2 linked regions of the Cricetulus griseus genome follow. The protein of the gene in region 1 purifies or fractionates together with the protein of each later gene. This does not show direct contact. Links are inferred from orthologs where the notes say so. Each region holds a gene or a part of one and is shown on either strand. Other genes may lie near its edges. The genes, in order: Ubr2 and Ube2b.

Region 1 (7,115 bases):
TAAACAGCTGCTGTGTCCCTGTCTCCCTAACAAATGATCACAATGTCTAAATCCAGACTACTCGGCTTGTCCACCAGGTCTCAGACTTCTTTCTAATTTCCACCTTTCCCTTAGACCCACCAAACTCTTAGTCACCGGGTTCTCAACCAGATTAGCCTGCCTTCTTGTGCCCAGGAGCCTGTTACAAAGTCCAACTCGGGGTCCAGAACCAGGCTGCTTGGCACCACTGCTCCTTCTCTGTGTGACTGAGCAGATTCCTTAGCCTGCCTCTGCCTCGTTCCCTTCACTGTAGGGGGGCGGAGGTTTCAGTTTGGTCAGGGCGAGGGGACATAAGAATGTAATACATGTGGAATCTGCCTGTTGTGTCCTGAGTGGCCTGGAAGACCTAATTTGGGGAAGGCCTCAGGCCTCTGCTTGCTGTGCTTCCACTGGTCCTTTTGTTAAGATGCCCGTACTCTCCATAATCTTTCTGATGCCTTTTCTGTGACCCTATGCTGGATATTGAACTCGGGGCCTAGGAATACCAGGCATGTATCTGACCACCGAGCTGTGTATCTCCGGCCCTATTTTCACATTTCCAATTCAGTAATACCTTATTGTCAGATAAGATCATTTGGGGGGGTGGTCAATCAATGGTCCGCTTTTGCATTGTGTGTGTCTTCTAAATAATACTCTGTATATTGTAAGGACTTCCATCCTGTAGCAGTTGGTCTCCTGTAGTGCACAGCTCCTTGTCTTCCTAAGCTTGCTTCTGTGTCTGTTGTGGTTGTTCCTCAGTGGTGCGGTGGTTCTGACCAGGCCTGGCGCTTGCTTTTCCACACTCTCAGACCTGTCAGATATCATCTGTCCTTGAGGCCTTGCTCCAGCACATAGCCCCAGCCTTCTGCACCAGTCAGGACAGGGCACAGCTATCCTTGCAATTGTCCATGGCTGTGTTCCTTTGTTTGTTTGTTTTGTTGGTTTTTAAGACAGGGTCTCACAGTGTAGCCCTGGCTGGTTACATACTCATAGTGGCATCTCACCTTTGGGAGTGGCCATGCACTACCATGTGGGGTTCTGTGTATCTTTGAGGGGGAAAAAAAGATGTCATTCCGACTCCCATTCTTTGCCATATAACTAGTCTGAATTCTTGGCATCTTCCCTTGTCTGGAATGTTCTGATGTCCCTTCGTTTTATGTGACTTCTTTGTCATTGGGCAGTTTTTGCAACACTTCCCATCTGGTGTCTTTCGCTGCTGAGTTTCTATGTGGTGTCTTGAGTTTGTCCCTTGGGGGCTTCTGTTCTTTGATGTGGTCTTCTGTTTGCTTATATTGGCCTTCTTAGACACCCTAGTCTCAACAGGTTTTGGTTTGGCTTCTCCTGCCCACCAGCTCATCTACTCTAGGAACTGAACTCAAAGTGTTGCTCACATACTCTAACTAAGCTATTTCCAAGTCCATGTTTAATTTCTACTCACTAACTTAAGTGAATGTTTATGACACTTTCCTTCTGTCTGGTCCTTGGGTAGCCACTAAACAGTAAGCTGTAGACATTCGGGTCTACAGCTGGGCAGGTCAGAGCTTTCTGAGTCTCACAGCAAGGTCAGTAGTCACCACCAGCTTTTGACCCAGAGACTCCAGATGTCAGTGTGTGGGACAGCTTTTCTCCAAGGTTCTGTCCTGGAAACACCAATGTCTGGCTGTGGGGGAACATCCTGAGGTCAGCCAGAAGTTCCATGGTTCCGACAGTAGGTGGACCTGGTTGCCTGCCTTGGGCCCTGAGTCTTCCCTCTGCTCATGCACAGAACATAACTCCCCTCAGCCAGGCAATGGCACACAGCCATCTCTGGAGATGTTTAATGGTTTGATTGCAGCACAGGACAGAGCGGCTGAGAGATGGAGCCATTTTATCCATGTGTGCAACTTTTGAACTAAACCTGTGCATCTTTACACAGGAACCCATATTCTGATAGTATAAAAGAAATGCTAACAACATTCGGAACAGCTACTTACAAGGTGGGACTGAAGGTTCATCCCAATGAGGAGGACCCCCGTGTGCCCATCATGTGCTGGGGGAGCTGCGCATACACCATCCAGAGCATAGGTAAGACACTCACCGAGGTGGTGATTAGAAATGTGATTAGAGCTGGGTGTGGTGGCACACTCCTTAATCCCAAGGCAGAGGCAGGCAGATTTCTGAGTTTGAAGCCAGCCTGGTTTATTGAGTTCTAGGCCAGCCAGGGCTTCAAACTGAAACCCCTACTGTGAAAAACAAAAACAGGCTGCAGTAGTGCCACTAATCCTAGCACTAAAGAGGCAGGGGCAAATAGATCTCTGTGAGTTCCAGGACAGCCAGGGCTACACAGAGAAACCCTATCTTGAAAAAAAGCAAAACAAGAAAAAAGAATGTTGTTTAGAAGATGCAGCTTTCTAGGGACCAGGCACAGATGTGGTACACAGACAGACAAACATTCATCCTCAGTCTTTTTTTAATGATGTTTAGTGTAAGGAAGTATAAAGGAGAAATAAAAGAAAATAGCAAAGAATTGTATACCAGGAAAATGCTGGTTTGTTTCACAATTTGTAAATAAATACAGCAACAGAAAACAAATTTAGGTGGTGGTTATGGGAACTTCTAGTTGAGGGACCCAGTAGGGTTTTTTTCCTAATTTTATGTGTATGGTTATTTGCCTGCATGTATGTTTGTACTATGTGTGACCCTGGCGCTTGCAGAGGCCAGAATTGGGCATCAGATCCCCTAGAACTAGAGTTACAGATAGTTGTGAGCTACCAAGTGGGTGCTGGGAACCAAACCCAAGTCCTCTGCAAGAACAGCAACTGCAATGGACAGTGGTGACATGCCTTTTATCCCAACACTTGTAAGTCAGTGGCAGGCAGATCTCTGGTCTACAGAGTAAATTCTTTTTCTTTTATCCAAAGTGAGTTCTTGCAAAATGACTTAAAGATGGTAATACCTAGCTGGGCAGAGTGGTACCTTTAATCACAGCTCTCAGAGATAGGCTGATCTCTGAGTTTGAGGACAGCCAGGGCTACACAAAGAAACACTGTCTCAAAAAACAAAAACAAAAAAATGCTAAAACCTGAAAAAATTGCATTCTCTTCAGAAATAATAGAACTTATTAAAAAATGTACAAAGAAAGTTAACTTTTAAGAAAATAACAAAATATACATGGCATTCAATTTACCTTCTTCACCATCTTTAATCTTTAGAAAGAATTTTGAGTGATGAAGAGAAGCCCCTGTTCGGACCTCTGCCTTGTAGACTGGTAAGAGCACTCATTCCTCTCAGTAGTGCCTGTTTTCTTTAAAAATGCAAAAGAACTTGTTTTGGGGGCTAGTGGTACTTGCTTCTTGTTTGTTCCATTGTTTATTTATAGAAGGCCCTGCTCTTTTCTCTGGTAACTGTAAGGACTTCTTTATTTCAGGACGACTGTCTCAGGTCTTTAACACGGTTTGCAGCAGCACATTGGACAGTGGCATCACTTCCTGTGGTGCAAGGACACTTCTGTAAACTCTTTGCGTGTAAGTGTCCCGTGTCTGTGACCATCTGTTCTGACATGGTCTTTGGAAATTTTCTTGATAGGAGTCTGATGGCTCCATTACAGTGAGTGTTTTCTCTAATGTGTCTTCTTCCATCTCTAGCCTTGGTGCCTAATGACAGCTATGAAGACCTCCCGTGTATATTAGACATCGACATGTTTCATTTACTGGTGAGTGTTTACAATTAGCTTTGCATCCTCTTCACCACACTGGACTTGATGAGTCAGTAGCCAGGAAGACCAAGAGGAGGCAGTGTCACCATGGATTTCTACACATCCACATCTAGTTAGGTTCTGAGGAAACTTGGTGTGGATGTCTGGTTGTCCTTCCTCTCTTGTTTGGCTTTGTGGCTGAGATCTGTAATAGAACTGTCTGCTTTTGACCCACTAAGAGGTCAAATAACGATGGCTGCATCAGTGATGCTGACATCTCACAGTCCGTTTAGTTGTTTTGTGAATTGTAGGAAATCTGAACGGATCCAGCCTGCAGTCACAAATACTTGATGGCAGACCTGCCTCTCTCTCCTATTTTGTACTTTTTATTTTTTAAGAAAGATTGTATTTATTTATTATGTATACAACATTCTGCTTCCATGTATATCTGCACACCAGAAGAGGGCACCAGATCTCATAACGGATGGTTGTGAGCCACCATGTGGTTGCTGGGAATTGAACTCAGGACCTCTGGAAGAACAGCCAGTGCTCTTAACCTCTGAGCCATGTCTCCAGCCCCCCCCGCCCCCTGGTTTAAAATAGGGTATATTCGTTGTATGAAATAGTAGCTTTTCCTATGAAATTTGATCATATTCACCACCACTTCCCTCTGTTGTCCCTACTACTTCCTGGGCCCCTCATTTTCCTTTTTCCTTTTTATCTTTTTCTTTCTTTCTTTTTTTTTTTTTTTAAATCTAGATACCACAGATGAAAACATGCTTTATTTGTCTTTCTGGTCCGACATACTTCATTTAGTATGATACCTGGTTCCGTCCCTTTCCTTATTTGTAGCATCACTTCATTCTTAATGACTGAATAATACTGCCTTGTGTGTTTTCTTTTTTTACTTTTACATATATAATATATATTTCTTTGGTGGGTGTATACCACAAGCTCAAACATGGAGGTCATGTTCTCTGATCTCCACACCCTTGGGTGCATACACAAAAAAATAAATGTTAAGAAAATAAAGGGATTTCACATACATCATTACCCCATGGTCTGTTTGTAGGGAATCCACTGGATAAATGAAATGATAGTGACTGACTCTCTAGGCCCCTTCAGCTCCAGTTCATTGAGCCAGTTCTAGTGGGTTTTCAGACATTGCCCTTCTTCCCTTTTAAGTTTAAAGGGAGGGCTAAACTGGGAAAAGATCCCAAAAGAGCACAGATGTGTAGCCATGAAGAGAGGCCTATGCTGATTATCTGTTTTGTGTCTAGGTGGGCCTGGTGCTTGCGTTCCCGGCTCTGCAGTGTCAGGATTTTTCAGGAAGCAGCGTCGGCACTGGAGACCTGCACATTTTTCATCTGGTTACCATGGCACACATTGTACAGATCTTACTTACCTCATGTACAGGTTTGTCAGCTTCTTGAACTTGCGTTTTTCAGTTTAAAACAAACATGTTTGGGAGAGAGCAGTATATAAATCACAGTCAGGTTACTTGCTCTTTCTGTTTGCCTTCCTGTAAAAACTTTTAGGTTTCTTTCTCTTGTGAAACTCCCCTGTAGTATGAATGTTTTGCTTTTTTCAGTTTAGTTCATTAATCTGTGAATGGCATAAATTAAGCCCCACTGAATGTTGTTTCAGAATGCCAGTTTTGTTTTAACTCACATGTTTCGTTAGTATCCCAGCAAGTTCATTCTTAAGCTATGTTTCCATTCAAGCATCCTGTTACTCAAACATTGCAAGACAGTGTGTTAGTTCTTAGTCCCCACTGGATGGTGGCTGCCTGACAGTGTGTTAGTTCATAGTCCCCACTGGATGGTGGCTGCATGATGGTGTGTTAGCTATAGTCCCCACTGGATAGTGGCTGCACGACAGTGTTAATTATAGTCCCCACTGGATGGTGCCTGCAAGACAGTATATCGGTTAATACTGTCCACAGTGTGATGGTTGGCTCAGTGGTCAGATGGAGAACAGTACTGTGTGCACACTTGGAAATTTAAATCCTAGTTACTTATAAGAGTATTTCCTGTTGTATATGAGTGTGTGAATATGTTTGGGTGCTTGGCTCGTGTACTTACAAGCCTTTTGAGCCACACAAAGGAATGGAGACCCCTACTATGTCTCTGTCTTTCAGAAGAGAATGGCATGGATCAAGAAAATCCCACTGGGGAAGAAGAATTAGCTGTTCTGTCTTTGCACAAAACACTTCACCAGTGTACTGGAAGGTGAGACCCCAGTCTTCCATGGGAGGTACTTCCCACGTGCCCGTGGGAGAAATTGCTGTATATTGCTGTGTTAAAAATCTAGGAGTGACTGCTCATATCCTTGACACAACTGAGTCTCAGAGAGGGATAGTCATGTCTGGAGCCTCACGTTTACTTGGTGGTAAGCCCTACAGTTGCTCAGTCAGATGCCAACTAGTAGGCGGTTGCACTCTGAAGATGCTCTCCTAAAATATGAGTTATCTTCTCAGCAATTTCAAAATGTAAATTGGAAGCCAGGTGGTAGGTGGCGCATGCCTTTAATCCCAGCACTCGGGAGGCAGAGGCAGAGGCAGGCGGATCTCTGTGAGTTTTAGGCCAGCCTGGTCTACAGTGCTACACAGAGAAACCCTGTCTCGGAAAAAAAAAAATCAAATGCAAATCGGATTAGCATAGTGTGTTTGCAAGATGATCCGGGAGAGACTGAAACACAGTGAGATTACTTGAACAGCACATACTGGTGTCACTGTGCCTTGAAATAGCAGTCTCACTTAGATCCTAGTAATGTGTATTGGGGCCTTGGGAATGTTTGTGCTGGGCTGGAGAGATGGTGCCAGCAGGAAAGTGCTGGATGCGTGAATTCGATGGGCTGGGTAAAAAGCCCTGTGGGTGGTGGAGACAGGAGGGTCACTGGGACTTGCTGGCCTCCAGCACAACTTCAGCATCAGGAAAAGACCCTGCTTTAAAGGAGTAAGTGGAGAGTGGTGGAGAGCAGGCACCCAGTGTCCTCTTCTGGCCTCTGAGTACACACACACACACACACACACACACACACACACTTAAATACACCATCTGTGTATATACACACATTATAGAAAAGGTCTTTGAATTATCCCATTTGAAAGCCCACTTGAATGAAGTAATATAACGTACAGAAGAACTTACAGGGATTTACAGATACACCCTGGTGTTATTTATGCCAGCAAGGAGCTGAAAGTGATCCAGATGTTTGTGTAGGGGCATAGTTTGATGTCACTTGTGATCAGTGTGTTCAAAAATACAATGGCTGGATTAAAAATTACAGTATGTAATATTTTCTAAATAGCATGGTAGTTAAACTGCATATAGTTGCAGCTGTGTAAGACAAATTAGTGTGGAAGCAATATACTAGAATAATACCTGGTGGTGTAAGATTCTGTAATAACTGCTAGGATTTG
Region 2 (7,633 bases), on another chromosome or scaffold:
CTTATTCTTATAGTTAGGCCTGTCTTCAGATATTACTTCCATACCCGTATTACCTAGAATCCTAACAAGGTTCCATGTGTGAGCTAAATTAATTGTAATAACATCTGAATTAAAAGTAACAGCCGGACATTGGTGGTGCACGCCTTTAATCCCAGCACTTGGGAGGCAGAGGCAGGCAGATCTCTGTGAGTACGAGGCCAGCCTGGTTGCTAGAGCGAGTGCCAGGATAGGCTCCAAAACTACACAAAGAAATCCTGTCTCGAGAAAAAAAAAAGTAATAAACATCATTTGCTTAACAAAAATTTCACCTGAAATTTGGCTTTTATAAACCACACATTCAAGCCAGATGGTGGGCAATCAGGCATTCAAGGCCATTCTCAGCTACTTAGTAACTTCAGAGCCAGCCTGGACTTCATGAGACCCTGTCTCCCAAAATAAAAATAAAGATTTTAGGGTCTTCAAAATGGCTCAGTAGGTAAAGGTACCTTGCCATTAATTCTGATAGCCTGGGTTCAATCCCCGGGACTCCAATGATGGAACCAATTCCTATAGGTAGTCTTCTGACCTCTACACATGTTACTTGAGCACCCAAGTACATGTGTGCTTGCTCAAATAAATAAAAAGCTAAATGATGGGATCATATAGCCAGGCTGGCCTTCATTTTGGTATATATTCAAGGATGACTTTGAACACAGGATCTCCTGGTTTCATCTCTTTGTGCTTATGTACAGATGCCACCACACCCAGTTTATGTGACACTAGGGATCAAACTCCAAGTTTACCCAGTGGGCAAACCCTCTACAGACTGGGCTACATCCTCAATCCTGGGTTGTTTGATTGATAGATACATACAAACATACAAACATAGGGGTATACAATGTGTATACCATTCTACTTGTTCATTTTATTTCTTTCTTTGTATTTATTATTTATTTACTTGGGTTTCTAAGGCAGGGTTTCTCTGTGTAGCCCTGGCTGTCCTGGAACTTGCTTTGTAGATCAGGCTGGTCTTGAACTCAGAATCCACCCGCCTCTGCCTCCCAAGTGCTGGAATTAAAGGCATGAAACACCACATTCAGCCTATTTGTCCATTTTAATTACACAATTCAGTGGAGTTTTGGTGTAGTCAGACACAGTTAAACCATCAAAATGGCCAGTTTCCATTTCTCTTGGGAGGTAACAGTCTAATGTTTTATTATTTAGATATCTTCTGTTTTCCTTTTGATCAATTGATGGCCATTTGGATTCAACTTTCCTTTTGCATTTCAAAACTAGTTCAAAACTTGAATATTTTCAATTGCTTTTTTATTTTCTGGCTTGGGATGTGACATTTGATCCTCGGACAGATGAGAAGTGGCTGACTTCTACTATTCAATTAGTAATACTGAGCACACAGAGAACAAGGTGAGGCCAGGAGGATGGATATGATTGCACAGAGATCAATAATGGGAATAGAAAGAAAAGAAACCCTAGGATGGAGCCCTGAGCAAAGGCTCAAACGCCCACTCTTTAACCCTGTTGCCATGGAGGATATCGTGGTTCTGGGTTTTTCAGTTTGGCAATATTGCCAGAAGTAATGGAGCATGTTTATAAGCCCAACACTTACTTAGAGGTAGAGAGAGGCAGGAGGATCAGAAGCTCATTGCTGTTCTGTGCTCCATAGCATACCTGGGCTACATGAGACTACTAAACAAATGAAGTTCTGTGCATTGGCAATGTCTGTAACATTGGTCTAAGAGGGTACAAAGTATGTCCCAGGTAGTCAAAAGTTTCAGTGCATGTTAACTTCTGCCTTTTTCTTCTACTTGTGTGTGACCAGAGGTTGGGGCATGGAGTATATTACAAGGATGGATTAAAGGTCAGCTGTCAAGTCTTACTGTTAATATTTTGACATAATTTTGCAAATATTTGTTATTTACTTAAAGTGAAAGTACTTACGTGCTTTTTAAAAAAACGAAAATATGGAGCCAGGCAGTGGTGGCGTACACCTTTAATCCCAGCATTTGGGAGGCAGAGGCAGGCAAATCTCTGTGAGTTCGAGACCAGCTTGATATACATAGTTCTAGGACAGCCAGAGCTGCATAGTAAGAACCTGCTACAAACAAAAATCCCTTATTTTCATGAGAAACACAATAGATGGCGTTTATGATGACTACATTAGTAGTGTACCTTGAATGTGTCATCATTTTTTTAAGAGTTGTGTTTGAGACTTAAGAAGAGTGGTGTAGGGGGTGAGGGGGAGGATGGGAGTAAGGGGAGGGAAGGGGAGAAGGGACTTACATGTGAAACAAGCTTGTTCCCTAACTTGAACTAATTAAAAAAAAAAAGAGTGGTGTAGTTTTGTGTTGTGCGAAACAGGCACTCTACCACAGAGCTACAACCTTGAACCCAAAATGGAGTAATTAATATATGTTGTGCTTTGAAAAGTCTCTCCCTGGGACTTCTGAAGTGAGACCAACATGACTTTTCAGAACAAGTTTTCCAGTGAGATGGCAGGGTTTAGTTTACTACCTGACATTCAGAACTGTTACTTGGTCAGGTATTGTGTGCTGACATACTCTCTTAACTAGGTTGTGAGGCAGTGGTAACTAACTTCAGTGTTGTCTTTGCAGTGTATGCTGATGGTAGCATATGTTTAGATATCCTGCAGAATCGATGGAGTCCCACATATGATGTCTCTTCCATCTTAACTTCAATTCAGGTACGTGTGTGTTCAGAAGCATCACAACTTCTCCGCATTCTGTGGGACATGACCAGTCACTTAGAGGAGCAGTCTTAACAACCAAGGAAACAAACTGCCAGCCAGTGCCCTGGAACTAACGCAGCACACAGACAGGAACCCTGGGCTGTTCTGTTAGTTGACATCTAAGGTCTAATCCACAAACTTGTTTCCTCTGGTGGTGGTGTCTATTGTTGCCTAGTCTGTCCCATGGATGACTTTTAACCTCTGATTCTCCTGCCTCTCTTCCGATGCTATAGATACAGTCCTATGTGCCACCATGCCTAGTCACAACCTGTTAGTCATGTGCTACACATTCTCACAGGTCAGACTTACTCATGTCCTCGTAGTATCTTGAGAAGTTAAGATTGCTTAGGGACCTCTAGGAACTGCCCGGTCAAAGAACTGTGACCTCTTTTTTTCACTGAGGAAAGTCTGTAAAGAGGGACAGTAACAGTTTGCCAGTGAGTCTGGAGAGGCTGTTGTGGCTGTGCTGATTTGGGGGGAGCAAAATTTATGTCCGTCTTTGTGAGTCTTTTACTGTTAGTTCGGTTCATCTCTAGATAGAGAATGTCATGATGTTTCATGCTGTGTCGTTGACCCTGTGCATACCTGCTTCCCCATTACCTGTCTGTCCTGCTCACCCTCTGTCTGTCCCATCCCTGTGTGTGGTGTCGCCCCCCCCCCCATAGTCCATTGCTGTTCCCATGTTCCATGTGTTTAAAGGGATATTCCACATAGAATATACCTACATAGAAGAGCAACTGTTGCCCTTAGGTTGCTCATTACTCTTTGCTCATCCCTTCCCGCTCTGGCCAACTTTACTATTTCATTCCCTCCCTGCTGAACATGGATGTTTTATTTATCAAAGGAGCAAGGCTCACCCAACATTATTGCTGTTGGGGGGGGGGGCGGTTTACCTAGCATGCCGGAGACCTGAGCACACCAAAAACATGATAGTAGCAGTAAAAGGTCAATAAAAATAAGCTACTAAGGTATTTACCGGTGTTAGAGCCTAACCAAATTAAGCTATTTGTTTCCTGGTGAGGAAGTTCTTATATTCAAATGAATATTGTTCTTGGCTGATTTCCTTGAAATGGGAGGTCTCAAGGCAACTGGGAATTGTTTTAGAAATTTATGTTCTTTAGCAGCAGAAACCTGTTTCGTGCCACTTCTGAAGGTTTTGAGACCTAAAAGATGACATGGAAACTTCCAAATAATTCTGTCATTTTGAGTAATTTTTTTGTCCTCATCTGAGCCCTATTAATAGACATATAACTGAAAAGCATTTTCTTCTCTCTTTTAGTCTCTGTTGGATGAACCAAATCCAAACAGTCCAGCAAATAGCCAAGCAGCACAGCTTTATCAGGAAAACAAACGGGAGTATGAGAAGAGAGTTTCGGCCATTGTTGAGCAAAGCTGGAATGATTCATAATAGACACCTGGTCTGTTCATCTTTTCATCGTTGTTGTGTATAATTTACCTCCCAGTAGAAAGGCTAGCAAGTTTTAAGTGCCACGGGTTTTAAGGATTCTGCAGAGAAAAAAGAAAAAGTCCTTCAGTTTAGAACCTACAAAAGCTTGTGTATCTTGATTAATGTACTTTTTATTGCATGGTGTGAACTAAGTTATTGCTGCATAAATTTGTAATATATCCTGTTTGTATTTTTTTCCAAGTGTATAATGTTGGTGTGGAGTTTTCATGACAGAATATACACATTTTGTAAATCTGTACTTTTTTCAAATATTGAATGCCTTATTTTTGAATTCTTTAGATTTTTAAATTGGAGAAAAGCACTTAAAGTTTTTTATATATGAATATTACATGTAAAGCTGTTAAAATACATAACTTCAGTGCAAGAGACTTTGTCACTTATTTCCTTATCTGTGCAGGAGGGACTGAGAAGTCTCTAGCTCTCCACCAGTTGAGAGCTTCATTTCCAACTGCAGAAGATCATACTTCTATTTTATCAAGAAAGTCTGCAAATTTGAGTCTAAAACCAATTCTGATCTCCGGCTTTATTTTGAATGTACTTATGTTAGTTCAGTTGAGTAATTATAGACTTACTGGTCTGATTCTGTCCAGCTCTGTATTTGGGCCACTTGTTAACGTGCATTTCTCATGTTAAACTGTACCTATTGTGACTTCACAATTGGCACCTCGGCCACAAGCAGAGCTGATTGACTCTGTTGTGTGGCAGCACCTTCACGGGCTTTTGATTAAGAAGAAAGTAAAACCATCACCATTTACCAAACGCCGTGCCGCAGTATTAGCAATGGCCGGTTGTGTTGGTTTGAGCATGGCAGAGATTTGGAAGGAATCTTGGTGTAACTTGAATATTTGCAAACTACCTTTTAATGCAGCTGCACGCTACCTGTTTATTCTGAAACTGTTGAGCACCAGGGCCTGCCGAGTTGCTTCTCACCTCCTCAGTTGTATACAAGTTGTACTGCATCTTAGTTTACTGGATAGATTTAAAACACAGTATTGTAGAAAGCTAATACAAAGCTATCCTATGCCTTCAAATAGTATAGAAAATGGAAAATATACAAGTAAATTCTGTTGAACCACTTGTGTAGTCTCTCTAGTAGTTGAAACAGCTATTGCAGTGAGCCTGAGTTTCTTGTCATCCATACCAGCCTTCTAGAGATGGGCTCTGGTAGTCCCTTTGTTGGAAAATTGGGTTGCGGAATGACTATGTCTTCTGTTACGAGCAAAGTTTAAAACTGGGATGGATAAGCGCTGGTACCCTTAGAAGTATTACTCCGATGAACTGGAGAGATGGTTCAGTGGTTAATAGTGTGTACTATTTCTACAAGAACCCAAGCTCGTTTTTCTGCATCCACAGCTCACAGGCCCCTGTAACTCCAGCTCCAGGGGGATCCAAAGCTTCTGGCCTCCTCAGACACTAGCACTCACATACACAGACACATAGTTTAAAAAAAAAAAAAATCAAGCTTTTTAAGTAGAACATGGTGGCACATAATCCTCAGGAGCCTGTGGAGGATCATGGGTTTGAGCCTGGTCTATGTAGTGAGTTCCAGGCCAATCAGGGCTACATAGTGAGACCCACAAGTGATGCCTCTATCATTTAGCTCTAAAACATTCTTTCTCTAATGACCCAGACAGTAAATAAGCAATACCTGTGAGGGACTCTCCTATTTAGCTAAACACTGTCTTTGATAACTGTGTCAGCACTGAATTTATTCTTTTTTGGTTTTGGTTTTTTGAGACAGGGTATCTCTGTGTAGCTTTGGAGCTTGTCCTGGAACTTGCTCTGTAGATCAGGCTGGCCTTGAGCTCACAGAGATCCACCTGCCGAGTGCTGGGATCAAAGGCGTATGCCACCATGGCCCAGCTGATAAGTTTTTACCATACAAAATGTTCATTTTTATTCTCTAGATACATTTGTACAGCAAGAAGCTAGAACTGATACTGAGGTAAATTTGCATTAGGGTTTAGATGCACTTGTGATGCAGTTCCTCAGTAATGGCTAGCAGAAAGCAGCCCACTGGTACTTTTCCCAGCAGTGGGTTTTTGGGGTTGGTTGGTTGGTTGGTTGGTTGGTTGGTTGGTTGGTTGGTTGGTTGGTTGGTTGGTTTTTTGAGACAGGGTTTCTCTGTAGCTTTGGAGCCTGTCCTGGCACTCGCTCTGTAGACCAGGCTGGCCTCAAACTCAGAGATTCACCTGTGTCTGCCTCCCAAGTGCTGGTGTGTGCCACCACTGCCCAGCTCACTTCAAGTTTCATTACAAATTAGGGAACTAAGTACACAGAGATGAGGTGTCTCAGGTCAACCAGCTGGACATGAGCTGGCTTTGGAGTAGTCTGACTCTTGGTGAATAATATTCAGGGGAATTTCACTTTTGGAGTAATACTGACAGTTACACAGAGACTATCCATTGGGAAGGTTTTCTTATCATTTTCCATCTTGACACACATAACCCTCATCAAGAAGTCTGGATATAGAAAATTCTTTAGTCTCTATATAAAGGACCAATTTCTCAGTAAACCGTTTTCGCCTTCCAGGAAATACCCTTGAGTCTAGAACTCCATGGGCCTAGCCCCCTTCACAACAAAATGGTTCCATTAATGTAAATAACTTTGAGAACCTGACTGAGAGATGACTCAGCATGTGAAGGTTCAGGACCCCATGGAAGCAGAGAACTGATTCCCATAACTTATGGTCCTCTGACCTCTCACCACAGCTTAGCACATGTGCTCTCATATATGTAAACACAAAATCAATGTAATTTAAGGTCTGAAGACTGATCTAAAATTCATAGGTGGACAGTAATGAAAGCTAAGAGTGATGCTCTGATTACTAATGGTCTGTTTTGTTATTTTCTGGTAGAACTGAGGATTGAACCAAGGTCCTTGTGAGTGCCAGGTAAGCACTATACTGATGAGCATATACCTAGTTCCTATTGCCTAGTCATGGGAATAACACTGGAGGCTGGAGAGATAGCACAGTGTTAATTATGACCACACACTGCTCTTGGCAAGGACTTGAGTTCAGTTCCCAGCACCCACATCAGGTAGCTCACCTCTAACTCCAGGGGACCTGAAGCTTCTGACCCATGGGTGGGCACCAGCACTCACAGATAAAAGATTTAAAAGCACACAGGTAAAATACATGTGGTATGTTTCATGTATATAGCTCACTATTTGGGAGGCCAAGGCAAGAGCTACACAGAGACCCTTCCTCTATAAAGAAACATTTGGGCCCAAATTTTGAGGTACTAGGAGTCAAAAGCCCCAGGCATGCTTGGTAAGTGTTCTGTCAGCGAGCTGTACTACCTAGCCCTGGGGTGCTTTGACGTCTTTCAATTTTCCTAATTTGGGGAGTAGACCGTGTGGTTCACAGTCCTTTCTGTTGTGTCCAGCCATGGGATGTGTCATGGGCTTAATGTGTA

The links.
Region 2: the proteins of Ubr2 (region 1) and Ube2b purify together in Homo sapiens (affinity purification with western blotting; 3 studies listed by BioGRID, with this or other methods). This does not show direct contact. The link is inferred for Cricetulus griseus from reciprocal best matches to the Homo sapiens genes UBR2 and UBE2B.

The regions. Positions count from the first base shown.
Region 1 is NW_023276806.1:256,332,693-256,339,807, reverse strand, and holds part of Ubr2 (E3 ubiquitin-protein ligase UBR2), read left to right. Parts: intron 1-1,933; coding exon 1,934-2,082; intron 2,083-3,209; coding exon 3,210-3,265; intron 3,266-3,424; coding exon 3,425-3,521; intron 3,522-3,641; coding exon 3,642-3,709; intron 3,710-4,971; coding exon 4,972-5,107; intron 5,108-5,831; coding exon 5,832-5,922; intron 5,923-7,115. UniProt on the Homo sapiens protein: E3 ubiquitin-protein ligase which is a component of the N-end rule pathway.
Region 2 is NC_048600.1:66,251,648-66,259,280, reverse strand, and holds the end of Ube2b (ubiquitin-conjugating enzyme E2 B), read left to right. Parts: intron 1-2,612; coding exon 2,613-2,701; intron 2,702-4,025; coding exon 4,026-4,154; 3' UTR 4,155-5,291; downstream 5,292-7,633. UniProt on the Homo sapiens protein: E2 ubiquitin-conjugating enzyme that accepts ubiquitin from the ubiquitin-activating enzyme E1 and transfers it to a E3 ubiquitin-protein ligase. In vitro catalyzes 'Lys-11'-, as well as 'Lys-48'- and 'Lys-63'-linked polyubiquitination.